Linked DNA regions of Anolis sagrei. The protein of the gene in region 1 purifies or fractionates together with the protein of each later gene. This does not show direct contact. Links are inferred from orthologs where the notes say so. Each region holds a gene or a part of one and is shown in the gene's direction. Other genes may lie near its edges. The genes, in order: EPS15, UBQLN1, CRK and AP2M1.

Region 1 (7,926 bases):
TCGCCAACTCAGAATCCATAAATTCATTCCACATTGTCAATTCCTATCAGTTCTAGTCATCCTTGTCCTTTATCTGTCTGCCAGATTACCCAAACGCCTGGTCCCAAATCCATGTTTTTAATTTCCTTCTAAAGGAAAGGAGGGATGTCGATGACCTAATTTCCCCGGGGAGTGAATTCCACAGGTGAGGGGCCACCACCGAGAAGGTCCTGCTCCTCATCCCCGCCAATCTTGTGATAGAGGCGGGGCCGAGAGCAGGGCCTCCCCAGAAGATCTTAAACTCTGAGGCGGGACGTAGAGGGAGATGCGTTCGGACAGATATGCTGGGCCGGAGCCGAATAGGGTTTTGTAGGTCAAAACCAGCACTTTAAATTGTGCTCGGAACTGGATCGGCAGCCAGTGGAGCTGACATAACAGAGGGGTGGTATGCTCTCTGTATGACCCTCCGGTGAGTAATCTGGCTGCCGCCCGCTGGACTAATTGAAGTTTCCGAACAGTCTTCAAAGGCAACCCCACGTAGAGTGCGTTGCAGTAATCTATTCGGGATGTAACAAGAGCGTGGACCACTGTGGCCAGATCTGACTTCCCAAGGTACGGCCGCAACTGGCGCACAAGTTTTAATTGTGCAAAAGCTCTCCCGGCCAACGCTGAGACCTGGGGTTCCAGGCTCAGCGATGAGTCCAGGATCACTCCCAAGCTGCGAACCTGCGTCTTCAGGGGGAGTGTAACCCCATCTAACACAGTTCCTCCAATTAAGTTATTTATGTGATGCCTAAACTGTATTTGGCAGAAGCAATGGGCTCTTCTTCTTTTAAACAACAACATTTTTAATTTTAAGTTCCACTTTTTTAAGTAATCAAAATTCAGAAGACAGTCTAAAACTGCTTAAAACCAACATGTGAAACCTCCAGTCCTATTTTCCATCTCACATTGCCTTTGACTCTCAAAACTGCATATGAGGACAACAAGGTCTTTCTTATGTATTGCTGCAAATGATTATTGACTCTGAAGGTAGAATACACTCAATAAGATAGTGAATTCTGCTGTTCCTGTGTGTGTGCACTTATCCTATCTAATTTAAATTTAAAGTATATGTAGGGAACTGACGACCCATTTCAATCAACTATGACTAATTTGGCCTACTACAGCTTGACTATAAACATAGCAGAGTCTGAGAAGGCAGCTAGTTTGAATATAAATTTGTGCTGAACAGCGATAAAACTGTTTTAATCAAGCAAACCAAAGCAATTGACATATTTACTCTTTTGCGGCAACATTTCAGTGCTCTGTTTTTGGCAGAGCCCTTTTTTGTGGAGTGTACAAGCCGCAATTATACTTCGGACTTACACATTTGTTGAATTAATTTATGTGTGTAGCAACTTCTGAGAGCAACCTTGAGTTAAATATGCTAACTGCTCTCACAAAGCAATTCTTTCATCTTAGTGTGATTTGTTCAATAAACGTGAAATATTTGCACATACACCCCTAGTCTAAATAGATCTGACTCTCCAGCATTTCTCAGATAAAAATAGGGATAGTTTGAGGACATGTAATACCTTTACTTATGGTATTTTCCTGAAACCCCTCCTGTTACCTCCACAGCTATACACAGCTAAACACTCTAGCCAGTAAGGTGATTCTATAGAAGTAATGCCACACGACACTGCTTTAATAGCAATAGCACAGTACTATGGACTCCTGGGAGTTGTAGTTTCTTTAGTCTTCCCTGCCAAATAGTGTTTGTGCTTAACCAAACTACATCTGCCATGATTCTATAACAGTGAGTCATGGCAGCTAAGGAGTATTTAGCAGAATGGTAAATAATACTACTGGTATATTGGGTCAGGTTTTTTTTTTTTTTGGAAGAAAATAACTGCAACTCAAATAATTGCAGGAGGCATTCAATTATTTATGAATGGCGGGGGACAAATTTGTGCATTAACTTTAAAAGTTAATGAAAAATATCTTCCCAACGGCAAAAAAGGATGGTTTTTATCAAACAAGGACAGATACCAGAAAATAAAACCTGTCCTTGATAAATAGGTCACTTGGAGCAATTTGAACAATGTGAATAGATACATACAAGTGGAAGAATGTCATTAGTCCAGGATCTGACTGTCTGAAAAGAAAATCTCAGCTTTAATTTTGCTTTAAAAATAAAATTTCTTGGTGCTTATTATCATGAATATTGCATTATATAAACACATGTTGTGACATCTCAGAATTAGGAACCACGACTGCTTCTTATTTCATGTATCTTATATCATGAACATAATTGTAGTGTTTCTTTCCAAAAGGTACCAAATCCAAAAAGAAAAAAGAAAAAAAGAAAAATTAAAAGGAATTATGGGTAGCAGCACATTGTTGGCTAGGAGTACAGATCAAAACTAGCAAGATATATCAAATCACTTTGGTATAGGGATTTTTATTATCTGCGACTATGGTGGCGTAATGGATTAAACGCTTGTGCCGGCTGAACTGCTGACCTGAAGGTCAGTGGTTTGAATCCATGAGATGGGGTGAGCTCCTGTCCGTCAGCTCCAACTTCCCATGTGGGCACATGAGAGAAGCCTCCCACTGGATGCTAAAACATCCTGGCGTCCCCTGGGCAACATCCCTGCAGACGGCCAATTCTCTCACACCAGAAGCAACTTGCAGTTTCTCAAGTCATTTCTGACATTTAAAAAATCCCTTTAACTTTTCATATGGATTTAGTACCTTTTAGAAACAAACTCCATAGTTATATATTTCAAATCTAATGTGAGGGATGTCAGTACTGTCCGGAGGGCGTATTAAGCAGAAACTGGTTTTACAACATACCAAAACTCATGAAAGGCCATTCTCTCCCATTAAAGGACATATAATTTAGAGCAGCCCCCTAGTTCCCAACAATGGGGTACATGTCCCACAGGGGGGCAATTTGATTTTGAGGGGTGACAATGGAGGGGGAAAGCCCCTCATAGAGATTAGTGGTGAGAGCATAGCGTTAGCTAGAGAGGGCTAGTTAAGAACAGGGATGAGACAACAGGAAGTAAGAGAAATTTACCCCTTGCAAGGGAAATTTACTCCTGAAAGTTATCATCATGGAGAAAAGGTGTCCCCACTGGAGTTTTCTCACCAATCCTTGTTTCTACCATAAGCAAAATTTTGACTGATAAGGACTGTTCTATGGATATGGCTTTTAACACATGCGATTGTTGTTGTGGAAAGTGGTTTATTTGTTTTTATTATGATTTGTTTTATGATAGAACGCTTATATTATATATTTATTATTCAATTTATTGCTTATTATTTTTGAGGCATCAAATGACTGCCTTCATTTTGTAAGCCACCGAATCCCCATGAGAGATATCCAAAGTGTGTGAGAGAGATATATATGTGTGTGTGTATATATATAGCAAGAAAATATACTGACTGGAGTTATGAGCTATAAGTAATATATTTTATTAGGATTATTTTCTCTATGTATTGTGATTTGTTCTTTTGATCTGTTTGCTTTGATTTTAGCATTTGGATTGTAAGTGGGATTGATACTATTTATATCAACTTAAGTAGCTGAGGGGGAAAAGGAAGGGGCCTGAGGCTGTTAGGAATTTATTTATTTATTTACAGTATTTCAATCCTGACTTTCTCAGCCCGAAGACGACTCAGGGCGGCTTACAAATTTGCAGCAATTTGATGCCACAACAGTCATAAAATACAATTAAAAAACATAAAGCACAACATTATACAAATCCATACAAAAAACCCTTTAAAACATATAATTGCCTGTGTCTTCCTGTTAAGACTCATTTTTCCAGTAGCATCGTCTAAGCCGTTCCATGTTTACTCTTTCATAGTTCCATGTTTATCTATTATGCTGTATTTCCAAAAGCTTGTTCAGAGCCAGTTTTTTTTTACAGAAAGTCAGGAGGTAGAGGGGGCCAATCTAATATCTTTAAGGAGGGAATTCCACAGCAGAGGGGCCACCACTGAGAAGGCCCTGTCTCTCCTCTCCTCCAGATGCGCCTGCGAAGGTGGGAATAAGAGCTGATGATCTTAAGTTCCTAGATGGTTCATAAGGAGAGATACGTTCAAACAGGTAAGCTGGGCCGGATTTGTTTTGGGAATTGTGGAAGTTGAAGTCCAAAACACCTGCAGGGCCCAAGTTTGCCTAGGCCTGCTCTAGTGTAATGAGGTCTTAGGTCAGTGGTTCTCAACCTGTGGGTCCCCAGATGTTTTGGCTTTCAACTCCCAGAAATTCTAACAGCTGGTAAAGAAGGAGCCTGTACCACACTCCGGGGCAGAGAGTTCCACTGCTGAACAGCTCTAACAGTCAGGAAGTTCTTCCTAACGTTCAGATGGAATCTCCTTTCTTGTAGTTTGAAGCCATTGTTCCACGTCCTAGTCTCCAGGGCAGCAGAAAACAAGCCTGCTCCCTCCTCCCTATGACTTCCTCTCACATATTTATACATGGCCCTCATCACGTCTCCTCTCAGCCTTCTCTTTTGCAAGCTAAACAATCCCAGCTCTTTAAGCCGCTCCTCATAGGGCTTGTTCTCCAGACCCTTGATCATTTGAGTGGCCCTACTCTGGACACATTCTAGCTTGTCAGTATCTCTCTTCAGTTGTGGTGCCCAGAATTTCCGGGAGTTGTAGGCCAAAACACCTGAGGACCCACAGGTTGAGAACCATTGTCTTAGATAGAGTTACTATTTTCTGGCTCCAAGAGGGACACTGTGTACGAAATCCATTCAGGTTCCATTCCTCATAGTTGAAGAAAGTGGCGAGGACGCCTTAGGAAGCGAGCTTGAGGCCTGGTGGGAGAGTTTCTCGCTAGGCCGCAGCAGAGAGGAGCCGCACAACACTGCTCCCCCTGAGCCTGGGGAGCTTTGGGAGGCCGGCTCTGCTCCGGAGAGGCTGCCGGGAGGGAGGGAAGGAAGGAAGGCAGGGAGGCGGGGCCTGTCCGGGGCGTCTCGGGAAGTTGCTGAAGTTGGGCAGAGAGTGAGGGACGGAGGGCCGGGCCTTGCTCCGCTTTTCCGCGAAGGGGAGAGCTACAGGATGGAAGCAGCATGGCCACGCATTTCTCCTTGACGCAGGTGACTGTGGGGAAGGCGGGAGGGCGGAAAAGGAAACCCTCTGGAGGGGCCCTTGGCTGAGGGAAAGGCTTCCTCCCGCCCCCCGGTTCCTCCCCCCCCCCCGCTTTTGTGTTTCCCTCCCTTCCCCTTTGACGCGGCCTGCCTCTTCCAGGCCCTTATCTTACAACCACCTCTCTCAACTGCCACGGAGTCTGTAGTTTTGCATCGTGAGCCCTGTAGCAGTTGTACAGTCTTGGTATATAGCAGGCATGGGCAAACTTGGGCTGAATAAAATCCCACATTATCTGCTTTGAACTGGAATATATGGCAGTGTGGACTCAAATAACCCAGTTCAAAACAGATATGGTGGATTGTCTGCCTTGATATTCTGGGATATAGGGCTGTGTGGAAGGGCCCGCCAGGTGTGGACTTCAACTCTCACAATTCCTGTCTAGGAATTGTGGGAGTTGAAGTCCACTGCACCTTGAGGGCCCAAGTTAGCCCATGCCTGCCCCAGGACCCTCCAGGTGTTGTGGACTTCAACTCCCATAATTCCTAACAGCCTTCGAATTGTGGGAGTTGAAGTCCATAACATCTGGAGGGCCCAAGTTAGCCCATGCCTGCGGGAAAGGACCCTGGGAGTTGTAGTTTTTTGGTGAGACAGCAGCCCCTCTCTGGCAGAGAAGGCTCAAAACTTTGCAAAACTACCCTTCCCAGGACCCCATAGTATTCTCATCTCTCTAGGGCAGTACTGAGCTCCCGATGGCACAGTGGGTTAAACCCTGAGGACTGAAGGCCAACAGGTCGCAGGTTCAAATCTGGGGAGAGCGTGGATGAGCTCCCTCTGTCAGCTCCAGCTCCCCATACAGGGACATGACAGAAGCCTCCCACAAGGATGGTAAAACATCAAAACATCTGGGCGCCCCCTGGGCAACGTCCTTGCAGACAGCCAATTCTCTCACACCAGAAGTGACTTGCAGTTTTTCAAGTCGCTCCTGACATAGTTATCAATCTTTTTTTGACCAGGGATCGCTTTGACCGGGGCCACTCTCCGACATTAGTACCAAAGGAGTTACAAGTCAGTTTATGGTCAACTTTAGATTCGGTTTGGGGTGGTGATTCAGAAAATTGCATTGAACAGACCACATCAGCTCTAGTTTCTGATACAGAACATGTGCCATGGTGAACAACAGGGAAGGAGTGGCAGGCGGTGCAAAAGGAGCAAAAATTAAATAAATAAAGAGGAAAGGTTCGCGGATCGGATTTTCGTCCTCACAGCCCACTGGTGGTCTGCGGCCCACAGGTTAAGAACCACCGCTCTAGGGATACATATACGCTGCAGACTTAGGGCCCTCCCACAGTGCCATATATTCCAGTTCAAAGCAGATAATGTGGGATTTTATTCAGCTGTAAGGAAGGGGGCTTATACTATTAATGCTCAATGCTATGAAATAATGGGATTGGTCATTTCATAAGATCTTTAGCCTTTTCTAGCCACTCACAAAATTATACCTCCCGTGACAGTTAAAAGTGGTGTCAAACTGTACTAATTCCACAGTACATTCACCCCTAGATGTTGCTTTCGAAGTGTACTGTACTGTGGGTACATCTACAGTTCTACACTGTAGACTGGGTATGGTTTAACACCACTTTAACTACTGTAGCAGTGCAAAAATCCTGTAAAACTACAACTCCTGGGTTTCCATAGCATTGATCCCTGGCAGTTAAAGTAATGTCAAACTGCAGTAATCCTATGATGTAGAGATGCACCCTTACCAAAGTTGTTATACTGCAGCAAATGTGTTTCTGGATTGCCCCAGGAGTTGACCCGTCCATGCACTTTCTCATCTACATTGTAGAATTAATGCAGTTTGATATCACTTTAACCACCATACTTACTTACTTTACTACTTACCATAACCCTTCATGTCCAGTGGCGAAAATACTGAGCCCCATACTTATGAGCTGTGGAATGAGAGTTGTAGTTTTATAGGGCCTTTAGCCTATTCTTCCAAAGACCACTGGTATCTTACCAAAGTACACTATAGCATTGAGCTGCTGCAGTTAAGGTAGTGTCAAACTATACATTCTACAGTGTAAATACACTGTAAGATAGGTTGAAGGTCTTTTATCTGTAATGCTTGGAACCAAAGTGCTTCCAAATTTGGAATATTTACATACACATAAAGAGATAGCTTGGAGATGGGACCTAAGTCTAAATGTGACATTCATTCATGTTTCCTATAACCTGAAGTCAATTTTATAAACAATATTTTAATAGCTTTGTACATGAAACAAAGTTTGTGTACATTGCCTGTTTCCTAAGAGATACATATATTTTTCTTGCTCTGTGTTACACTCTTTTTTAAGCCACTTTTGTCCCGTGAATGTCTCTCTCTCTTTGTAAATACTTACCTTCACAAGCCTCAGAACAAGCTAGGTGTGTTACATAGAGAACAGAAAAAGTCAAAGGTGAAACTTAGGTTTGTTTTTTGTAACTCTTGAATAGCTTATTTCTCCAGTTCTTTTTGGAACATGATGGTCTGAATGTTAATATATAAGTTCTGGTGGCACAGAAGCCCCACTTCAATTCAAATGTGTAAAAATCCTTCTTGACTAGGAAAGCACCAGTGTTTGGACTGGGATAAGAAGATGCCAAGGCAGGATTGCTGCCTTTCATGTTAATTAGTCTTTTAGATAAAAACAGGAAATGTAGTCATAATGACTTGTGTAGGTGCTGTGTATTTATGCAATCCTCATTATTCTATGTGTACCTCCTGGGGTTCTTTATATTTGTGTAAATAAGAATTTGGTGCTGTTTTCATGGAGGAACAATTACAGGCCTAACTCAGGGCCCTTCCACACAGCC
Region 2 (7,749 bases), on another chromosome or scaffold:
CCAGCATTTTGAATTGTGCTCGGAAGCTAATTGGCAGTCAGTGGAGCTGGTATAACAAAGGAATTGTGCGCTCTCTGTACCCTGCTCCGGTTAGTAATCTGGCTGCCGAACGTTGGACTAATTTCAGCTTCTGGGCAGTCTTCAGAGGCAACCCCACGTATAGAGCGTTGCAGCAGTCAATATGGGATGTAACCAGAGCGTGGACCACCGTGGCCAAGTCAGACTTCCCAAGGTACGGGCGCAGCTGGCGCACAAGCTTTAATTGTGCAAAAGCTTAATTATACAGTTCAGGTTTCAATGAAAATTAAATTTCAAGATTTTTAAATATCACGTTATGTCTTTGGCAACAGAACTTTTGACTGCTCTGCAAGTCCACCACACATGGTAAAAAGATCCCATATGTTGTTTATTCTTCAAACATTAATTAATTTATTATTTATTTATTTGCTTTATTTCTATACCGCGTTTCTCAACCAAATTAGGTGACTCAATGCGGTTTACACAATATTAATTAACACAGCAATAACAATTAAAACTCAGCATACACAATAGCAAACATACAACACTCATACATAGTGCCTCGATCACAAACAAGATCCAGTCTCATATCCTTATGCCGTTCCTATGTTCAGTTTACCGTCATCCTGTATTCAATTGCGCTAATTAGCCAAACGCTTGCTCAAAGAGCCAGGTTTTGAGCTTCTTCCGAAACGCCAGCAGCGAAGGGGCCTGTCTGATGTCATTGCGTAGGGCATTCCATAACCGAGGGGCCACCACCGAGAAGGCCCTGTCTCTCGTTCCCGCCAACCGTGCCTGCGACGCAGGCGGAACCGAGAGCAGGGTCTCCCCGGACGATCTTAATGTCCATGTCGGTTCATAGGTGGAGATGCGTTCGGAGAGGTAGGTGGGGCCAGAACCGTTTAGGGCTTTGTAGGCTAGCGCCAGCACCTTGAATTGTGCCCGGTAGGAAATTGGCAGCCAGTGGAGCTGGCTCAACAGAGGAGTGGTATGCTCCCTGAGAGCTGCTCCTGTTAGCAACCTGGCTGCCGAGCGCTGGACCATCTGAAGCTTCCGGGCAGTCTTCAAGGGCAGCCCCACGTAAAGCGCGTTGCAGTAATCTATACGGGATGTGACCAGAGCGTGGACTACCGTGGCCAAGTCAGACTTCCCGAGGTACGGGCGCAGCTGGCGCACGAGCCGGAGCTGTGCAAATGCTCCCCTGGCCACCGCCGAGACCTGAGGCTCCAGGCTCAGCGATGAATCCAGGGTCACACCCAAGCTGCGAACCTGCGTCTTCAGGGGGAGTGTAACCCCGTCCAACACAGGCTGTAACCCTATGCCCCGTTCGGCCTTTCGACTGACCAGGAGTGCCTCTGTCTTGTCTGGATTCAATTTCAATTTGTTCACCCTCATCCAGTCCGACACAGCGGCCAAGCACCGGTTCAGGACCTGAACAGCCTCCTTAGAAGTAGGTGGGAAGGAGTGACAGAGTTGGACATCATCTGCGTACAGATAACACCGCACCCCGAAACTCCGGATGATCTCTCCCAACGGCTTCATGTAGATGTTAAACAACATGGGGGACAGTATTGAACCCTGCGGGACCCCACAAAACAATGGTTGTGAGGACGAGCAGCTGTCCCCCATCAACACCTTCTGGGTACGACCCTCTAGGAAGGACCTGAGCCACTGTAAAACAGTGCCACCAAGGCCCATTCCCGCGAGGCGTCCCAGAAGGATACCGTGGTCGACGGTATCGAAGGCCGCTGAGAGATCCAGCAGGACCAACAGGGACTCACTCCCCCTGTCGAGCTCCCTGCGGAGATCATCCACTAAGGCGACCAGGGCTGTCTCGGTACCATGTCCTGGCCTAAAACCAGACTGTGCCGGATCCAGATAATCCGTGTCTACCAAGAATACCTGGAGTTGTGAGGCCACCACACGTTCCAGGACTTTGCTCAAAAAGGGAAGATTGGAAACAGGCCGATAGTTGACGAATTGAGTGGGGTCTAGTGATGGTTTTTTCAACAGCGGTTTTATTACAGCTTGTTTTAAGCTGGCTGGAATTTTGCCTTCCCGAAGGGAGGCATTAACCACCACCTCCACCCACTCGGCCAATCCCCCTCTGGCCTCCTTTAGAAGCCAGGATGGGCAGGGGTCTAGGATGCATGTGGTAGCTCTCATTCCTCCAAGTATCTTGTCCACATCCTCGGGTTTCACCAATTGAAATGAATCCATCAAAATCGGACAAGCAGATGCTCGTGTTACATCCTCAGAGACTGCCGTTAACGTGGTATCCAGGCCAGAGCGGATCAAAGCGACTTTGTCCGCAAAGAACCGAGCAAATGCTTCACAGCGGGCCGTCGAGTTGTCAGGGTTCCCATCCGGAATGGTGGGGTTCAATAGCCCTCTGACAACTCGAAACAGCTCCGCCGGATGGTTCTTTGCGGACGCAATATTGGCCGCAAAGAAGGCTTTCTTTGCCGCCTTTATTGCCACGGCGTATGCCCTTAGTAGGGCAACAAACCGTGTTCGATTTAACTCGCTCGGGTCCGAACGCCACACGCGCTCTAGTCTCCTCTTCCTTCGCTTCATCGCTGCCAGCTCCTCGTTGAACCAAGGTGCTGGTTTAGCTCGGCTACTTGAGAGGGGACGTTCCGGAACAATCGTGTTTATGGCCCTAGTCATCTCCCCATTCCAGAGAGACACCAGGGCTTCAACAGGATCACCAACCGAGGTGGCAGGAAAATCCCCAAGAGCCATCAGGAATCCATTCGGATCCATAAGCCTCCTGGGGCGGACCATCTTAATGGGTCCCCCACCTCTGCAGAGGTTGGGAGGTGTGGTGAGTCTAAATCTGACCAGATAGTGGTCGGTCCATGGCAACGGAGAAGTGGATAACTCCTCGACACCGCCACCTTGCTCCCATCCCTGACAGAAAACCAGATCCAATGTGTGTCCCGCACAGTGGGTGGGCCAGATACTCGTTGGGACAGCCCCATGGTTGCCATGGATGACATGAAGTCCTGAGCCGCTCCTCCTAGTGTAGTCTCGGCATGTACATTGAAGTCCCCCAGTACAAGAAGCCGTTGAGACTCCAATGCCAGGCTCGAGACCACCCCCGCTAGCTCAGGTAGGGAGACCGTAGTAATTAGATCCTCTATGCATTTTAGCACACATTAAATGTGTTAAATGCCAACAATTAGTCAATTTATAGATATTTTTATTCAGATCATATTATCAGAGTATGATCCTCCAGATATTTTAGACTAAAACAATGTTTATACCATCTTTTCTTACTACAGGATATAAGATGTATTAATTAGGTTTGATGGAAGTTATAGTCCCAAATTTTCAGTTTGTTTCAAAGGAAAGCGGGGGGCAGCTGCTGAAATTTCTCCATCAGTATGGCTGTTGTTAACTACCATCTGCTTTGACTTATGGTGATCCTATGAATGAGATGTCTCAATTTAACTCTATTAATCCTGCACAAGGTTAGCCACCCTGCACAGCTCTTGCAGATTCGGGACATGTCTTCCTTGACTGAGTCTATCAATTTGTGATACAGGTTTCCTCATTTACTGCCTTCTACTTTTCATTGTTGTGAGTCATGTATTCTTCAGATACGGCAATCTCAGTTTAGGGGGCTTCTATACCAGGCATGAGCAAATGGGCCCTCCAGATGTTTTGGACTTCAGCTGGCTGTTCGGAATTGTGGGAGTTGAAGTCCACAATAATGTATGCAGATCCCAGTATGGTGGCCTTTTGCAGCTGACAGATGGTAATTTTGTCAGTGCCGACTGTGTTTAAGTGCAGGCCAAGGTCTTTAGGCACGGCACCCAGTGTGCCAATCACCACTGGGACCACCATGACTGGCTTGTGCCCAAGTCTTTGCAGTTCAGTCTTTAAATCCTCATGTCAGCTTTTCCAGTTGTTTCTCCAATCCTGCTGTCGCCTGGGATTGCAACATCGATGACCCATAACATGATCGTGAGGTCGGAGTATTGTGCTCCAAACTCTTGTCATTATTATATTTTTACTGACACAAAAACACAGAATGTCACAGCAAACGAGATCTATATGCTGGATTTCGAATCACAAAATCACAAGTTGAACACTTCCCAAGCTTTATTATATTATTATAATACATTATATCATTATATTAATATTATATAATGATTATAATATGATATATTATATCATTATATTACAATTTTATAATATATATAATTATTATATTATGATACATTATAATTTTATGATATTATAATAATATATATCATTTATTATTATGATTATTCTTCTCCATTTGCTTCTGACACTAAAAATAAATGATTAATATATATCTCCCACGAAGTTTCCACCTGGCCTGGGCAAACTTGGGCTCTCCGGGTGTTTGGACTTCAATTCCCACCATTCCTAAGAGGCCCCTTCCTTTTCCCCCTCAGCCGCTTAAGCTGAGGAAAGGAAGGAGCCTGAGGCTGTTAGGAATTGTGGGAATTGAAGTCCAAAACGCCAAAGAGGACCCACGTTTGCCCCGGCCTGTATCCCACCACACAACGCACCAGAGAGTAACTAACTACGCCACTGCGAGCAGCCGAAAAGTTTTTTTCTGCGCAGGCGCAGAGCATCCGCCCGCCTGACAATGCCAGCGGGGGCTTTCCGCCCCAGCCGCGCGTGCGCAGTGACCTCGGCACCTCCGAGGCGCGGGGAGGGGGGGGAGCCTTTTGTTCCTCTCCGTTGTGCACATGCGCGCCTGCGCCTCTCTCTCTCTTTCTCTCTTACCAACCCCGCTCCCCTTTTTTCTAGCAACTTCCCCGACCCCTGACGTCATCACCAGGCGCCGTAGTAGCCGAGCCGGACTGTTTCCGTTGAACTCTGGGAGAGAAAGCTGAGTCGCGCGTCGGGGTGTGCGCGAGGGAAGAGGAGGAGGAGGAGGAAGGGGGCCGAGGAGGGGAAGAAGAAGAAGGCGACGAAGAGGAGGAAGGGAGGGAGGGTCGGCGTTACCCGGCATTCTCCGCGCGGCCTGGCTTTAACGAGCGGAGGCGGCTTCTCCTCCGTCTGTCGGCCCGCGCGCCATGTCTGAGGGCGGCGAGAGCCCCCAGGGCCCCGGCGAGAGCCATCCCGCCCCTGCCGCCGCCGCCGCCACTGAGCCGCGGATCATTAAAGTCACCGTGAAGACCCCGAAGGAGAAGGAGGAATTCGCCGTGCCGGAGACCAGCAGCATCCGGCAGGTGAGAGGAGAGAGAGAGAGAGAGAGCCAGCTAAGGAGGGAGGGAGGGGCGTGGCTGGTGCCTCAGAGCGGAGTGTGTGCCTTGTGTGAAGGGGTATTTTGTGTGTGTGTGTGTGTGTGTATGGAACCGGCGACCATGTTCTCTCTCCCTTCCTCCTCGCGCCGCTGGCTTCCGCGCGGGGCCTTTGCCTCGTCACCGGCCTCCGAAGTGCTGACGCGGGAGGAGCAATTGCCTCATCAGAGAGAGGGAGGGAGGGAGGCCTCAATCTCTACACTGGGGAATGGACGCGGCTCGGCACCGCTTTCAACTCCCGGGGCTCCGTGCTGTGGACTCGTCCGAGTTGTGGTCGGGTGAGGCGCCCCACTCTGAGGCAGAGAAGGCTCCAACTCCCATGATCCCACAATGTGCGGCCTACTGTATTAATTTTAGTGTGTTGACCAGGCATGGGCTAACTTGAGCCCTCCAGGCGTTTTGGACCAATCCTAAAAGCCTCGGGCCTCTTCCTTTCCATTCCTAACAGCCTCAGACCCCTTCCTTTCCATTTCTAACAGCCCCAGACCCCTTCCTTTTCATTCCTAACAGCTTCAGACCCCTTCCTTTTCATTCCTAACAGCTTCAGACCCCTTCCTTTTCATTCCTAACAGCCTCAGACCCCTTCCTTTCCATTCCTAACAGCTTCAGACCCCTTCCTTTTCATTCCTAACAGCCTCAGACCCCTTCCTTTCCATTTCCAACAGCCTCAGACCCCTTCCTTTTCATTCCTAACAGCTTCAGTCCCCTTCCTTTCCATTCCTAACAGCCTCAAACCCCTTCCTTTCCATTCCTAACAGCTCCAGACCCCTTCCTTTTCATTCCTAAACAGCCTCAGACCCCATCCTTTCCATTCCTAACAGCCTCACACCCCTTCCTTTCCATTTCTTTATTTTAAAATAATTTTTATTTAGATCCCCCCCCCCCAAAAACACAAAGTTATGGTAAAAATATCAAAGAGCTTCAGATAGAGATATGTATATAAAAGTAGAAGTGTGGATTGGATTAGGAATAATAGTGTTTAAAGGGAAAAGAGAAAGGTTAAAGGTCGAGTAAAGTTAGGGCTGGGGGGGGAGGGGGTATGAAATCGTGAGTATGAAAGATGTAGAAATGGATAGAATAAAATAAATAAGAATGTAGATTTTCAGACTTCCCAGTATCTTCTATGAGGTTCTTTCCCTTTCCTTTCTTTTTTCTTTATTTTTTCTTTTCTTTTTCTCCCTTTCTTCGTTTTGTCCATTGCTTTCTTGTTTTTCTTAAATAAGTATTTTCACATTCCTTTTTGTTAAGTATGCTGTAACTTGTTTCCAGTCTGTCTTGTTCCTTGAAGTGCTATTTCTAACAACCTCGGGCCCTCCCTTTCCATTCCTAACAGCCTCGGACCCCTTCCTTTCCATTCCTAACAGCCACGAGCCACATCTTTTGCGTAATGGTGGAAGTTGAAGTCCAAAACTCCTGGAGGGCCCAAGTTGGCCCATACCTGATGTAGACAGAGGCACTCTCCTCCCTCTGTCGTTTTCACTTGGGTATGAATGAGTGGCACCAGGGTGACATTGTTCAAGGGAGCTACTCCCGAGTAAAAGCAGGGCCCATGAAAAAGCCTAAAGAGCATAATATTTATTATTTATTCAACTCATTTCTGCCCCACCTCTCTCACCCAAAGGGGACTCAAGGCGGCTTACAACTAAGGCAAAAAACCCCCAGCAATAACAATAAAACTTTAAAACACTTAAAAACAATTAACATTAAGCAATAATACACATAAAACAGCATACAAATTTTAAAAAGCATATAAAGTACATTGTTCTCTTCATACAAAGCCCTGCTCATAATCCTTAATCCAGACTGTGTTGAAACTGTAGAAACTTATTCTTCAAACGCTTGTGCGCAGAGCCAGGTCTTCAGCTTTTTTCATTTAATACTCTTCCAGGGCTTTTTTTGTTTTGTTTTGTTTTGTTTTTGGTGTTGGCATTCATTTGTTTTTATATAACATTCTAATTTGTGGATTTTGTCCAACAGTGAGCATGAAGAAATCGCTTACCTACTTTGTGCCTCCACTGATAGGCATTCGACTGCTCCACAGGCCCAGAAAGTTTGCTATAAAGGGGATTATTCTAGATCCCCCACCCCCATTTCCTTTATGTTTTAAAATGAGATAGCATTTGTAGAGCTAACGGGATGAAAAACACCTGGTGCTGGAATCGCAAAATGACCGCAAAGAAGGGTTGCCTTTGTCTAGAGGAGGACACAAAGGAGCCAGGCGGACAGGGAGAGAGACCAGCTAGCTTCAGTGGGAGGGTCGCCATGATTTCAAATCTGGCAGGCTTGGGATAGGTTGATCATCCCTTACCCCAAATGCTCCAACATCTACAGTTGTCCACAAGGGGGGCTGAGATGGCACACTTTTGCTTTCTGGTGATTCGGTGTACACAAACTTGGTTCATGCACCAAATTATGCAAAATATTATGTAAAAATTACTTTCAA
Region 3 (7,518 bases), on another chromosome or scaffold:
CTGGACTCTCCTCCGCTTCAGGGAGGGGGCGGCGGGGACCACGAAGCTGGGCAGGCCCAGGGCGCCGGCCAGGCAGAAGCCCCACACGAAGACCCGGCCCTTCCGCCGTGCCTGCCGCCCCACGAACGCGAACACCGGCGCCGCCTCCTCGGCCTCGCGCCGCGCCCTCACGCTCCCCGCCTTCGCCGCTTGGGCCAGGCCGCGGCAGAGGGAGACCGCGAGGGGAACCCGCAGGGGCGCCACACAACCCCACAGCCCCGCCATGGCCCTCAACAGGCTCGCTTGCGGCATAAACACGGCGCCGGCCTGGGCGGCGCCATCTTGTTGCCCTTTTGGCGCGTGCGCACTTTGTGTTTCCTCTCCCTGGCTTTCCGCGCCTGCGCATTCCTTGTCTCTCGCCTCTCACGGCCTTGGCTTCTGCGCCTGCGCAAGACTAGTTTCCTCTCTCGGCTTGGCAAGCTGTTTCCTGCGCCTGCGCACTTTTGTCTCTCGCCTTTCCCGGCCTTGGCTTCTGCGCCTGCGCCTGACTTATTTCTTCTCTCGGCTTGCCCATCCTTTTCTGTGCCTGTTCACTCCTTGTCTCTCGCCTTTGCGCCTGCGCACTTTGTCTCTCGCCTTTCACTGCCTTGGCCTCTGCGCCTGCGCACGCCTTGTTTCCTCTAGGCTTGCGCATCCGTTTTCTGCGCGTGCGCACTCCTTGTCTACTCGCCTTTCAGGAATCTTAGCTTCTGCGCTTGCGCACGTCTTATTATAGTGATGTAATATAATATTTATTATTTATTTACTGGCTGAGGCTTCTGGGAAATTGAGTCCCAAACTCCCAAAGGGCTAAAAGATCTCTTCACTCTTGTGGCCCTCTAGGCTTTGGGACTCCACTTCCCAGAATTCTTGGCCATTGGATAAGCTGGCTGAGACTTCTGGAAAATTAAGTCCCAAACCTCAAAGGGCTAAAAAGCCTTTTCAGCCTTGTGGCCCTCTTTTGAATCCCTTTATTTATTTATTTATGGCATTTATATGCCGCCCTTCTCACCCCGAATGGGACTCAGAGCGGCTTACAAGATGTATATATACATACAATATATTATATTATTAGCATAGTACAATATCAGTATTAAATATTACTATATTGTACTATACCATTATATTGTAATATTATTAGTAATATTACATTTAATATAAAATATAAAAGATGGATGGATGATATCCTTGAAGTGATTGGATTGACCTTGAAGGAGCTGGGGGTGGTGACGGCCGACAGGAAGCTCTTACTTACTTAGGCGATCCCTTGTTGGCCGAGTAGGATAGTTTTCCAGGTTCAGTCTTCTGGTGGGTCTGTAGGTGACTGTGGAGCCCTATTCTTGACCTGCATCTTCTCCCACAGTGAGGGAATTGGTTTCCAGGTGGAAGGCGGTCTCGGTCTGGGTTGGCTTGACGTGCCTTCCTCTTGGCACGTTTCTCTCTTTCACCCTCCATTCATGCCTCTTCAAATTCTGCAGCACTGCTAGTCACAGCTGACCTCCAGCTGGAGCGCTCAAGGGCCAGGGCTTCCCAGTTCTCAGTGTCTATGCCAGAGTTTATAATGTTGGCTTTGAGCCCATCTTTAAATCTCTTTTCCTGTCCACCAACATTCCATTTTCCATTCTTGAGTTCGGAGTAGAGCAACTGCTTTGGGAGACTGTGGTCGGACATCCGGCACAAGTGGCCAGTCCAGCGGAGTTGGTGGACCATCGCTTCAATGCTAGTGGTCTTTGCTTCTTCCAGCACGCTGACATTTTCCACTTGTCTACCCAAGATTTGCAGGCAGCGCTGATGGAATCGTTCCAGGAGTTGCATGTGATGTCTGTAGACAGTCCACATTTCGCAGGCATATAGCAGGTTTGGGAGGACAATAGCTTTATAAACAAGCAGCTTGGTATCCCTACGGATGTCCTGGTCCTCAAACACTCTCTGCTTTATTCAGAAAAATGCTGCACTCGCAGAGCTCAGGCAGTGTTGTATTTCAGTGTTGATGTTGACTTTTGTGGAAAGGTGGCTGCCAAGGGAGTGGATATGGTCAGTGTTTTCTAATGTTACAACATTAAGCTGTATCTCTGGCATTGGAGAGGGATTGACTGGTGACTACTGAAGAGCACTTTGGTTTTCTTAATGTTAGATGACAGGCCGAGTTTATCGTATGCTTCTGCGAAGGTGTTTAGAATGGCTTGTAGATCTAAACAGCTCTGGCGTGGGCTGGTCCATGAGGTCACGAAGAGTCAGAAACGACTGAGCGAATGAACAACGACATAAAATATATAATTATAATTTCATATTATTATTAATACTATTGTATTACAATATATTACATTACCTTACATTATTAAGGGCATGACTGCATCTCCGTATACGAACCCACACGATCTCTCTGATCATCTGGAGAGGCTCTGCTCATGATCCACCTACGTCGCAAGCGCGGTTTGGGGGGGAAGAGGGACAGGGCCTTCTCTGTGGTAGCCCCCCGACTCTGGAACTCTCTCCCCAAGGACATCAGACAAGCCCCAACGCTGGCAGTCTCCAGGAAGAGCTTGAAGATGTGGCTGTTCCAGTGTGCCTTTCCAGAATAGGAAGCTCCTATCCACATGTCCCAAACGCACTTTACTAGAGATTTAAGATTGTCTGCACATTGCACCTACCTCTAAAAACCTATACATTTTACCTGTCATGTCCAGCACTTTTAAATTTTATTCATTACATTTGGCCCGGCCTTTGTTTTAAATGCGTCGTGGTGTTATTGTTTTTAATGTTTATTGTTACTGCTTTAATTTTTTGTTTTGCTTTATGAGTATTATTGTTGTATTTGTTATGCTGTGTTTTATTGAGGGCCTTGGTCTTTTGTAAGCCGCACCGAATCCTTCGGGAGATGTTAGCAGGGTATAAATAAAGTTAATAAATAATTAGAATAGCACAGAAGACAATATTCCAATATACTGTACTGTATATCATAAGTATGTGTCTTTAACGGTGCTATGACCTGTTATTTTTATAATAATAATGTTGTTGTTGTTCTTCATTCGTTCAGTCATCTCCGACTCTTCGTGACCTCATGTACCAGCCCACGCCAGAGCTCCCTGTCAGCCGTTACCACCCCCAGCTCCCTCAAGGTCAGTCCAGTCACTTCAAGGATGCCATCCATCCATCTTGCCCTTGGTCGGCCCCTCTTCCTTTTGCCTTCCACTTTCCCCAGCATAATTGTCTTCTCTAGGCTTTCCTGTCTCCTCATGATGTGGCCAAAGTACTTCAACTTTGTCTCTAGTATCTTTCCCTCCAGTGAGCAGTCGGGCTTTATTTCCTGGAGGATGGACTGGTTGGATCTTCTCGCAGTCCAAGGCACTCTCAGAACTTTCCTCCAACACCACAGCTCAAAAGCATCGATCTTCCTTCGCTCAGCCTTCCCTAAGGTCCAGCTCTCACATCCGTAGGTGACTACAGGGAATACCATGGCTTTGACTAGGTGGATCTTTGTTGCCAGTCTGATATCTCTACTCTTCACTATTTTATCGAGACTGGACATTGCTCTCCTCCCAAGAAGTAAGCCTCTTCTGATTTCCTGGCCACAGTCTGCATCTGCAGTAATCTTTGCACCTAGAAATACAAAGTCTGTCACGGCCTCCACGGTTTCTCCCTCTATTTCCCAGTTGTCAATCATTCTTGCTGCCATAATCTTGGTTTTTTTGACGTTTAGCTGCAACCCGGCTTTTGCGCTTTCTTCTTTCACCTTGATTAGAAGGCTCCTCAGCTCCTCCTCGCTTTCGGTCATCAGAGTGGTGTCATCTGCATATCTGAGGTTGTTAATGTTTGTTCCAGCAATTTTCACCCCAGCCTTGCATTCCTCAAGCCCCGCACATCCTCGCATGATGTGTTCTGCATACAAATTAAAAAGGTTGGGTGAGAGGATGCAAGCCTTGCCGTACGCCTTTCCCAATCTTGAACCAGTCTGTTGTTCCGTGGTCAGTTCTGACTGTTGCTACTTGGTCCTTGTACAGATTCCTCAGGAGAGAGACAAGGTGGCTTGGGATGCCCATCTCACCAAGCACTTGCCACAGTTTATTATGATCCACACAGTCAAAGGCTTTAGAATAGTCAATGAAGCAGAAGTAGATGTTTTTCTGAAACTCCCTGCCTTTCTCCTTTCTCCAGCGGATATTGGCAATCTGGTCTCTCGTTCTTCTGCCTTTTCTAAACCCAGCTTGAACGTCTGGCAACTCTCGCTCCATGTATTGCTGGAGTCTTCCTTGCAGGATCTTGAGCATTACCTTACTGGTAATTATTATTATTATATAATATAATAATAATAATAAGTATAATTATTATAATTAATTATGCTTTCTCTTTTTTGTGTTTGTAGTTTTTTTTTTCCCCTGTGGCCGGCCTCGAACTCAGAATGCTCGCCTCAGCGTCCCCGCCCCCTGCTTCTGCGCAGGCGCGGCGTTGGCTCAGCCCCGCCCCTTTCCCCGGACGAGGCGCCGCCCTCCTCGCGCGCGTCACTTCCGGGCGGCGAGGCGCGGCGGCCGCCATCTTGGGCGGCTGAGGCGAAGCGCGGAGGCGAGGGGCCTGCCGTGTTCCCGCCCGCGTCCGGCCATGGCGGGGCAGTTCGACGCGGAGGACCAGGGCGGGTGGTACTGGGGGCGGCTGAGCCGGGCGGAGGCGGTGGCGCTGCTCCAGGGACAGCGCCACGGCACCTTCCTCGTCCGCGACTCCGGCACCATCCCGGGCGACTTCGTCCTCTCCGTCTCCGAGAGCTCCCGCGTCTCCCACTACATCGTCAACAGCCAAGCCGGAGGGGGCGGGCCTCCGGGTGAGCCACGCCCCTCGCCACGCCCCCTGCCCTGCGGGAATGGGCGCCTCCTGCCTAGGCCTGCTTCTCGCGGGTGGCAGCCTTGTCCTCACCCCGTACTCCTTCCTGGCACGGGCGGGCGGGGTGGGTGGCTTCTGGAAGTCCCTGCAACTCTTAATCTGAGCATAATAATAATAACATAGTGATATAGTCTGCTTCCTGGCAGAAGGGGGCGGGACTAGGTGGCCTTGGGGGTCACTTCCGGCTCCAGGGCTCTGGTCACCATCATCCCAGAATCATATTTCTATCAGCATGGGATAGTTAATTCTATCCTGCTTGGCCGAAGGGACTGGGTGGCCTTTAGAAGCCTGTAATATAATATATTGTATATACATATAATATTATAATGTAATAAAATATAGTAACTGTATTGTCGAAGGCTTTCATGGCTGGAATCACTAGGTTCTTGTAGGTTTTTTCCGGCTATAGGGCCATGTTCTAGAGGCATTTCTCCTGACGTTTCGCCTGCATCTATGGCAAGCATCCTCAGAGGTAGTGAGGTCTGTTGGAAATAGGAAAATGGGTTTATATATCTGTGGAATGACTGGGGTGGGGCAAGAGAGAGCTTCAGCTCTAAAATTACAACAGCAAAACAGCAGAGAGGAAACAACCAGGCACATCTTAACACCTCTCAACAAAAGATTTTCCCAGGCTCAGCCAGGCCTTCAAATGCTAATGAAGGTGGTCAGTTGAAACATTCACACCTAGCTCCAGCAGAGAAGAGCTCTTTGCCCCACCCCAGTCATTCCACAGATATATAAACCCATTTTCCTATTTCCAACAGACCTCACTACTTCTGGGGATGCTTGCCATAGATGCAGGCGAAACGTCAGGAGAAATGCCTCTAGAACATGGCCCTATAGCCCGAAAAAACCTACAAGAACCTAATATAATAACTAATAATATCTTTTATATTATATGTAATATTACTAATTATATTACAGTATAATGGTATAGAACAATATATTGTACTACATACAATATAATAACATTATATTATGATTATATATATTTATATGACATGTACTATTGCTAATTATATTACAATTTAATGGTATAGTACAATATAGTATTATATAATACTGATATTGTACTATGCTAATAATAATATGCTAATAATTAGAGCCCCCGGTGGCACAGTGGGTTAAAGCGCTGAGCTGCTGAGCTTGTTGATCAAAAGGTTACAGGTTCGATTCTGGGGAATGGTGTGAGCTTCCACTGACAGCCCCAGCTTATGCCAGCCTAGCAGTTCAAATACATGCAAATGTGAGTAGATCAATAGGGGGAAGGTAATGGCGCTCCATGCAGTCATGCCGGCCACATAATGGTATAGTTAATTATATCTACCCATTTGGCAGAAGGGGGTGTGACTGGGTGGTCTTTAGAAGCTCCTTCCAACCCTTAAATTTGATAGTGAGGATGATTGATAATAATAATATAGTAATATACTAATTCTATCTTCCTTCCTGGCAGAAAGAGTGGGACTAGGTGGCCTTTGGGGTCACTTCATAATCACAATCCCATGATCATGTTTGCATCATAATGGGATCGTTAATTCTATTCTGCTTGGCAGAAAGGCGTGGGACTGGGTGGCCTTTAGAAGCCCCTTCCAACTCTATGAGTAATAATAATAATAATAATAATAATAATAATAATAATAATGATGATGATGTAACTTCCTGGCAGACAAAGGTTGGACTGGGTGGCCTTTAGAAGTGCCTTCCAACTCTGATAATAATTGCATAACAACAATAATAGTAATTATAATATAGTAATTCTGTCTTCCCTCCTGGCAGAAGGTTGGACTTGGTGGCCTTTAGAAGTCCCTTCCAACTCTGTGAGTCTAATAGTAATAATAATACTTTAGTCATTCCATCTTCCTTTCTGGCGGGGGGGGGGGGAGTGCTCTAGGAGTCTGATAATCATAATCCTATGATCATATTTGCATCATAATGGGATAGTTAATTCTATCTTCCCACTTGGCAGAAGGGGCTGGGACTGGTTGGCCTTTAGAAGCCACTTCCAACTCTTGAGTCTAATAGTAATAATAATAGTAATAATAATGTAATGCTGTCTTCCTTCCTGGGAGAAGAGGGTTGGACTGGGTGGCCTTTGGAAGTCCCTTCTAACTCTCTGGAAGCATAATAATAATTGCATAATAATAATATAGTAATTCTATTTTCTCTCCTGGCAGAAGGGAGGAGGACTGGGTGGCCTTTAGAAGCCCCTTCCAACTCTATGAGTAATAATAATAATAATAATAATAATAATAATAATAATAATAATGATGTAACTTCCTGGCAGACAAAGGTTGGACTGGGTGGCCTTTAGAAGTGCCTTCCAACTCTGATAATAATTGCATAACAACAATAATAGTAATTATAATATAGTAATTCTGTCTTCCCTCCTGGCAGAAGGTTGGACTTGGTGGCCTTTAGAAGTCCCTTCCAACTCTGTGAGTCTAATAGTAATAATAATACTTTAGTCATTCCATCTTCCTTTCTGGCGGGGGGGGGGGAGTGCTCTAGGAGTCTGATAATCATAATCCTATGATCATATTTGCATCATAATGGGATAGTTAATTCTATCTTCCCACTTGGCAGAAGGGGCTGGGACTGGTTGGCCTTTAGAAGCCACTTCCAACTCTT
Region 4 (7,424 bases), on another chromosome or scaffold:
CTGATCCCACCTTCAGAGACAAATATGTGCCAGTTGCCATAGGAGGCTTAGTGGGCTTTGATGGAGGGCCCTTCCACACAGCCAAATAATCCAGAATATCAAGGCAGATAATCCACAATATCTGCTTTGAACTGGTTTATCAGAGTCCACACTGTCATATAATTCGGTTCAATGTGGATTTTAGACAGCTGTGTGGAAGGGGCCTGGAATATCCATCATATGCAGGCTTTTAAAACCACATATTTGGGAACTAAGCTTATAGTCTTGCTGTCCTCAAGGTGTGACTGAGCCCCAGAACACCAGAGAAAAGAGCAGGATGGGCGCAGGTGATAATCTCTCTCTTCCCATTTCTTTTCTCCTTGCATCTGCTTTGCTTCCCTCCCTTTTCCCAGTGTTGTCTTCTCATGTTTTTTCTGGATTAAAGAATAACCCATTCAGGGCTTGAAGGAAATGTATGTAAAGATGGATCAGTCCAGGCTGCTCTGCTGGAAGATGAAACAGTTTCTATGGGAACACTCTGTCACTTGTAGTCCTGCCATAGAACAGACATTCTGGCATCAGATTGGGAGAAACATTGCTTTCTGGCATTCATGCTGCCAGGTGGAAATCACAAGCACAAACAGGAGCCTTGCAGGAAATGAGATATCTTCCCTCGATATAATTCTCAACACGTTTGATTGGCTTGAATGTCGGACTAGGACTTTGCTCATGCCTGCTATATAAAGACGAGGCTGTTTTGCTGCCACTTTAGCCATCCCTGTTATGTTTTCCTGGATGCGACATTGTTTTCTCCTCTCTCTTGACCAGGTACTACTACACTTTTGCCCTGTTCCTCCTTCCGTTTCCTTCCTCCTCCTTTGGTGCTATCTTCCTGTGTCACACATATTCTCCCCCCTTCCAAATTTTATATAAATTGAAACCATCCTATGTGTTTTTTTATTTATAAAAATAGTTTTATTGGACTCCATGTGGTCTCGGTGTGGCTTATTTTAGTCGTTATATAATAATATATAATAATAAAACTTTATTTATATACCACTCTCTCTCCCTCCTAGGGGATTCAGTGCGGTTTCCAATCACAAAAACACACAAACATACAGAGTAAACAAAACATAAGTGTAAAATTATCAGTACAATACATCTATCTATATAAATAAAAATGTAATGTTCGTTTGTGGGATTAACATAACTCAAAAACCACTTGACGAATTGACACCAAATTTGGACACAATACAACTATCAGACCAATAATAATAATAATAATAATAATAATAATAATAATAATAATCTTTATTTATACCCTGCTACCATCTCCCCATGGGACTCGGTGCGGCTTACATGAGCCCGAGCCCGCAATACATCAATACAAGCAATAACAGACACAATACAAGGCAATTAAAATAAATTTCATACACAAATAGCATACACATTAAACAAAGTACAGTGCACATTTAAAATCTGCGGCCAAATGTAATTAAAGTTTAAAAACCAGTGACCATTACTCATAAAAAAACTGAAAAACAGCTGAAGAAACTTAAAAAACCAATAAATAAATAAAAAATATTACAACGCATGGGCAAAACCACAAATATATACACACACATGTACACACAAAAAACACATATACACAGACTGGGCCACAGCAACGTGTGGCAGGAGCAGCTAGTATACAATAAAACCAGTTCCCCTTATTCTTCATGCCAAGGTTAGCTGTTTGGGCCGGAATTTCAGAAAGGGCCTAAGCATATAGCCGGGCGAGGCTAGTGCAAGATATAGGGGGCCAGGGGAATGGGTAAAGTGCAATAACCTGTCCCAGCAACAGTAATAGTGGAGCCATTTCCTGAGCGTATTGGAGAACTGACCGGGGTAATAGGTGAGGAGAAGGGGCATATTCTAGCTAGTGGCCAGGGGCTGGAGTTCATGCTAGTAATTCTCAAAGGCCTGGTGAAACCACCAAGTCTCAAGTTCTTAAAAAAAGAGGAGAGGGATGGGGCCTGTCTTATTTCTCTGGGGAGGAGGTTCCAGAGGTGGGGGGCCACCACCGAGAAGGCCTTCTCTCTCGTCCCCACCAACTGTGTTAATGATGGTGGTGGGAGCGAGAGAAGGACCTCCCCTGTGGATCTTTGAGTTTGCGCTGGTTTGTAGAGGGAGATGCGATCGCGTAGATAGGCGGGGCCCGAACTGTTTAGGGCTTTATAGGTCATAACCTGCACCTTGAATTTGACTCGGCAACTTATTGGCAGCCAATGAGGCTGTTTTAATAGGGGTGTTGTATGCTCCCTATAATATTGAAGTAATGTATTATATATATAAACCTCTTCCAGAAAATTAGAAACATTGGAGGTAAATTTCAGGTAAAAATTGGTATGATAAGAAACAAAGTTGGCAATTTATATCCCCATACCAAAAAAGAGAAATGCGAAAGACTGCTCAAACTTCCGTACAGTGGCCCTTATTTTTCATGCCAGTAAGGTAATGCTCAAGATCCTGCAAGGAAGACTCCAGCAATACATGGAGCGAGAGTTGCCAGATGTTCAAGCTGGGTTTAGAAAAGGCAGAGGAACAAGAGACCAGATTGCCAATATCTGGATGCTGGAGAATGGAGAAAGGCAGGGAGTTTCAGAAAAACATCTATTTCTGCTTCATTGACTATTCTAAAGCCTTTGACTGTGTGGATCATAATAAATTGTGGCAAGTTCTTGGTGGGATGGGCATCCCAAGGCACCTTCCCTCTCTCCTGAGGAATCTGTACAAGGACCAAGGAGCAACAGTCAGAACTGACCACGGAACAACAGACTGGTTCAAGATTGGGAAAGGCGTACGGCAAGGCTGCATCCTCTCACCCAACCTTTTTAACTTGCATGCAGAACACATCATGCGAAGATGTGTGGGGCTTGAGGAATGCAAAGCTGGGGTGAAAATTGCTGGAAGAAACATTAACAACCTCAGATATGCAGATGACACCACTCTGATGGCCGAAAGCGAGGAGGAGCTGAGGAGCCTTCTAATCAAGGTGAAAGAAGAAAGCGCAAAAGCCGGGTTGCAGCTAAACATAAAAAAACCAAGATTATGGCAACAAGAATGATTGACAACTGGAAAATAAAATGTGGAGGCCGTGACAGACTTTGTATTTCTAGGGGCAAAGATTACTGCAGATGCAGACTGGCCAGGAAATCAGAAGACGCTTCCTTCTTGGGAGGAGAGCAATGTCCAATCTTGATAAAATAGTAAAGAGTAGAGACATCACACTGGCAACAAAGATCCATTGCCTAGTCAAAGCCATGGTATTCCCTGTAGTCGCCTACGGATGTGAGAGCTGGACCTTAGAGAAGGCTGAGCGAAGGAAGAGAGATGCTTTTGAGCTGTGGTGTTGGAGGAAAGTTCTGAGAGTGCCTTGGACTGCGAGAAGATCCAACCAGTCCATCCTCCAGGAAATAAAGCCCGGCTGCTCACTGGAGGGAAAGATACTAGAGACAAAGTGGAAGTCCTTTGGCCACATCATGAGGAGACAGCAAAGCCTAGAGAAGACAATTATGCTGGGGAAAGTGGAAGGCAAAAGGAAGAGGGGCCGACCAAGGGCAAGATGGATGGATGGCATCCTTGAAGTGACTGGACTGACCTTGAAGGAGCTTGGGGTGGTGACGGCTGACAGGGAGCTCTGGCGTGGGCTGGTCCATGAGGTCACGAAGAGTCGGAGACGACTGAATGAATGAACAACAACAACTATATAATATTATATATATTGAATTACTATATTGTACTACACCACAATACAGCAATATTATTAGTAATATTACATGCAATATATAATATACAATTATTATATCATATATTATTATATTGTACTGTATTATTATACCATATATACATATACATATACATATATATATATATATATATATGATATCACGATATTGTACTATAGCACTATAAGGCAATATTATTACTAATATTACATGTAATATATAATATACAATTATTATATTATTATATATTATTATTATATTATATATTATTATATTGTACTGTATTATTATACCACAATATACATATATAATACATTATATCAATACTATTGGTATTATATAATATATTGTACTATATTATAAGTTGTATAAACTATATTGCAAGCTACCCATGGCAATTTAGTGTGAGGCACTGAGGATCCAAAGGGGACATCTCTGCTCTCTCCAAGTTTACACATCCCAGGATTCCCAGTTCAAACGGGAAAAGCTGGGCCAAAGGAGAGCCTTATGATAAGATAGAACTGCAAAAGACCAAAAAAACTACGCGCCCCGTCGGCCACCGCGCGAAGCTCAAGCTTGCGAGTGATTCCTCCCTCTGCCGCGTTGCATGCCGGGTCAAGAAGTCTCTGCCCTTTTCGCAGGCTTCTCTCGCTCTCTCGGGCAGCGCATGCGTACTGGCGGCGCCGCTGCAGTTATAGCGGAGGGGGGAGAGGCCGCCATTTTAGCCGTTGGTGAAGAAGAAGAAGGAGGAGAAGGAGAGGCGGGAGGCCGAAGCAGGTGAGCCCTCTCTTACTCTAACCCTTTCTCTGTTTCTCCTGCGCCTTTAGAGGCCTCCCCCAACTCGGGGAGCAAAGGGCTTGTTGAATAGCGCCTCTTCCTGAGGCCAAGCCCAGACTGAGGCCCATCCCCAACACACACACACATATACATATGCACACACAAACACACACACACACATACACACTTTCAAGGGTGTCCCTAAAAGTCTCAATGCATAGGACAAATTAACAAAGTCATGTATTATTTTATATATTTATATTACAGTGTGTGTGTGTGTATACACACACATATACATACATACATACATACACACACACACACTTTCAAGGGTGTCCCTAAAAGACTCAAAGCATAGGACAAATTAACAAACTCATGTATTATTATATATTTATATTTCAGTGTTTGTGTATGTGTGTGTGTACATACATAAATATACACACAAACACACACACATACACATTTTCAAGGGTGTCCCTAAAAGTCTCAATGCATAGGACAAATTAACAAACTCGTGTATTATTTTATATATTTATATTTCAGTGTGTGTGTATGTGTGTATATACACACAGATATACATACATATATACACACACACACACATACACACTTTCAAGGGTGTCCCTAAAAGTCTCCATGCATAGGACAAACTAACAAAGTCATGTATTATTTTATATATTTATATTACAATGTGTGTATGTGTGTGTGTGTGTGTGTGTGTGTGTGTGTGTATATATATATATATATACACACACACACACACACACACACACATAAATATACACACACAAACAAACACACACACATACACACTTTCAAGGGTGTCCCTAAAAGTCTCAATGCATAGTACAAATTAACAAAGTCATGTATTATTTTATATATTTATATTACAGCACATATATGTATATATATATACACACAGACATACACACACACACACACACACTTACATACACACTTTCAAGGGTGTCCCTAAAAGTCTCAATGCATAGGACAAATTAACAAACTCATGTATTATTTTATATATTTATATTACTCTCTCTCTCTCTCTCTATATATATATACTAGCTTGGGGACCCGGCGTTGCCCGGGTTATTAGAGAAAGTGGGTAATGGCGGTTCTGTATGCCAAGTTTGGTCTTTATTGGTCTTTGGATAATGGCAGCATTATTTTCAGGAAGTGAGTGAAGGTACTTCAAAGTCCCATCATCCATGGGCCATCCTCCTACAAACAGCAGCAGGATATAGAGTGGGTCATGGGGGCTCTGTGTGCCAAGTTTGGTCTTTATCAGTCATTAGATGAGGGTGGCAGTGGTGTCAGTAAGTGAGTGAAGGTACTGCAAGTCCCATCATCCAAAGTCCATCCCCTTTCAAACTGCAGCAGGATGTAGAGTGGATCATGGGGGCTCTGTGTGCCAAGTGTGGTCTTGATTGGTCATTAGAAGAGGGTTGCAGCAATCTTTGGAAGGGAGTGGAGGTACTTGAAGTCCCATCATCCATGGTCTGTCCTCCTCCAAACTGCAGCAGGATGTAGAGTGGGTCATTGGAGCTCCATGTGCCAAATTTAGTCTTGATTAGTCATTGGCGAGGGTCTCAGTGGTCTCAGGAAGTGAGCAAAGGTACTGCAAGTCCCATCATCCATCCCCAAATTTTTCCAAAGAACACCAGGTCGTAAAGTAGGTCATGAGAGGTCTATGTACCAAGTTTGGTCTTGATCCGTCATTGGAAGAGGTTTGCAGAGGTCTCAGAATGTGAGTGAAGGTATTGGAAGTTCCATCATCCATGGTCCACCCTTCTCCAAAACTGCAGCAGGATGTAGAGTGGGTCATGGGGGCTCTGTGTGCCAACGTTGGTCTTGATTGGTCATTAGATGAGTTTTGCAGCAGTCTTGGGTAGTGGAGGTACTTGAAGTCCCATCATCCATGGTCTGTCGTCCTCCAAACTGCTCCAGGATGTAGAGTGGGTCATTGAAGCTCCATGTGCCAAGTTTAGTCTTGATGAGTCATTGGCGAGGGTCTCGGTGGTCTCAGGAAGTGAGTGAGGTGACTGCAAGTCCCATCATCCATTGTCAAATTCTTCCAAACCGCACCAGGATGTAGAGTGAGTTATGCAGGCTCTCTGTGTAAATTGTGGTCCTGATCCATCATTGTTGGCAGTTATAATGGTCTTAGGAAGGGAGTGCAGGTATTGCAAGTCCCATCGCCCATGGTGCATCCTCCTTCAAACTGCACCTGGATGTAGAGTGCACCATGGAGACTCAGTGTGCCAAGTTTGGTATTTATTGGTAATTGGATGAGGGTTGCAGTGGTATGAAGAATTGAGCAATGGTACTGCAAGTCCCATAATCCATGGTCCATCCCCGGCCAAACCACACCAGGACGTACAGTGGGTCATGAGAGGTCTCTGTGCGAAGTTTGGTCCTGATCAGTCATTGGATAAGGTTAACAGTGGTCTCAGAATGTGAGTGGTGGTACTGCAAGTCCCATCATCCATGGTTCATCCTCCTCCAAACTGCAGTAGGATGTAGAGTGGGTGATGGGGGCTTTGTGTGCCTATTTCGGTCTGTATTGGGAGTGTTCTGACCCAGCCCCCTTTGGCCTTTCCTTTCCTCTCTTTCTCATCTCAGAATGTTGGATTTGAGGCTGGCCAATCAGAGAGCATATGCAAATTTCCTTCTGTCATGCCCCGTTTCTGCCATGAACCCTCTTCTCCACCAGGGGGTCCTATTGAAGCTGGCCAATCAGAGACCATATGCAAATAGCACCACAGCGGCAGCCAATCAGAACGCTGGCACATACACCGCCCTCCACAATTCCTATACAAACAAACACTCTTCTTTATTATATATATAGATAGATAGATAGATTGGGCAATAAGAAGTTCGTGATCTGAGCTACAGTCA

The links.
Region 2: the proteins of EPS15 (region 1) and UBQLN1 purify together in Homo sapiens (affinity purification with western blotting; 3 studies listed by BioGRID and IntAct, with this or other methods). This does not show direct contact. The link is inferred for Anolis sagrei from reciprocal best matches to the Homo sapiens genes EPS15 and UBQLN1.
Region 3: the proteins of EPS15 (region 1) and CRK purify together in Homo sapiens (affinity purification with mass spectrometry; 3 studies listed by BioGRID and IntAct, with this or other methods). This does not show direct contact. The link is inferred for Anolis sagrei from reciprocal best matches to the Homo sapiens genes EPS15 and CRK.
Region 4: the proteins of EPS15 (region 1) and AP2M1 purify together in Homo sapiens (affinity purification with mass spectrometry; 4 studies listed by BioGRID and IntAct, counting the BioPlex papers as one, with this or other methods). This does not show direct contact. The link is inferred for Anolis sagrei from reciprocal best matches to the Homo sapiens genes EPS15 and AP2M1.

What each region holds. Positions count from the first base shown.
Region 1 is NC_090024.1:174,234,484-174,242,409, forward strand, and holds the start of EPS15 (epidermal growth factor receptor substrate 15), read left to right. Parts: upstream 1-4,926; 5' UTR 4,927-5,051; coding exon 5,052-5,078; intron 5,079-7,926. UniProt on the Homo sapiens protein: Involved in cell growth regulation. May be involved in the regulation of mitogenic signals and control of cell proliferation. Involved in the internalization of ligand-inducible receptors of the receptor tyrosine kinase (RTK) type, in particular EGFR.
Region 2 is NC_090022.1:228,697,297-228,705,045, reverse strand, and holds the start of UBQLN1 (ubiquilin-1), read left to right. Parts: upstream 1-4,749; 5' UTR 4,750-5,078; coding exon 5,079-5,234; intron 5,235-7,749. UniProt on the Homo sapiens protein: Plays an important role in the regulation of different protein degradation mechanisms and pathways including ubiquitin-proteasome system (UPS), autophagy and endoplasmic reticulum-associated protein degradation (ERAD) pathway.
Region 3 is NC_090031.1:27,477,551-27,485,068, forward strand, and holds the start of CRK (adapter molecule crk), read left to right. Parts: upstream 1-4,503; 5' UTR 4,504-4,614; coding exon 4,615-4,831; intron 4,832-7,518. Other genes in the region: RCC1L (RCC1-like G exchanging factor-like protein), read right to left, coding at 1-291. UniProt on the Homo sapiens protein: Involved in cell branching and adhesion mediated by BCAR1-CRK-RAPGEF1 signaling and activation of RAP1.
Region 4 is NC_090023.1:264,557,020-264,564,443, reverse strand, and holds the start of AP2M1 (AP-2 complex subunit mu), read left to right. Parts: upstream 1-4,421; 5' UTR 4,422-4,523; intron 4,524-7,424.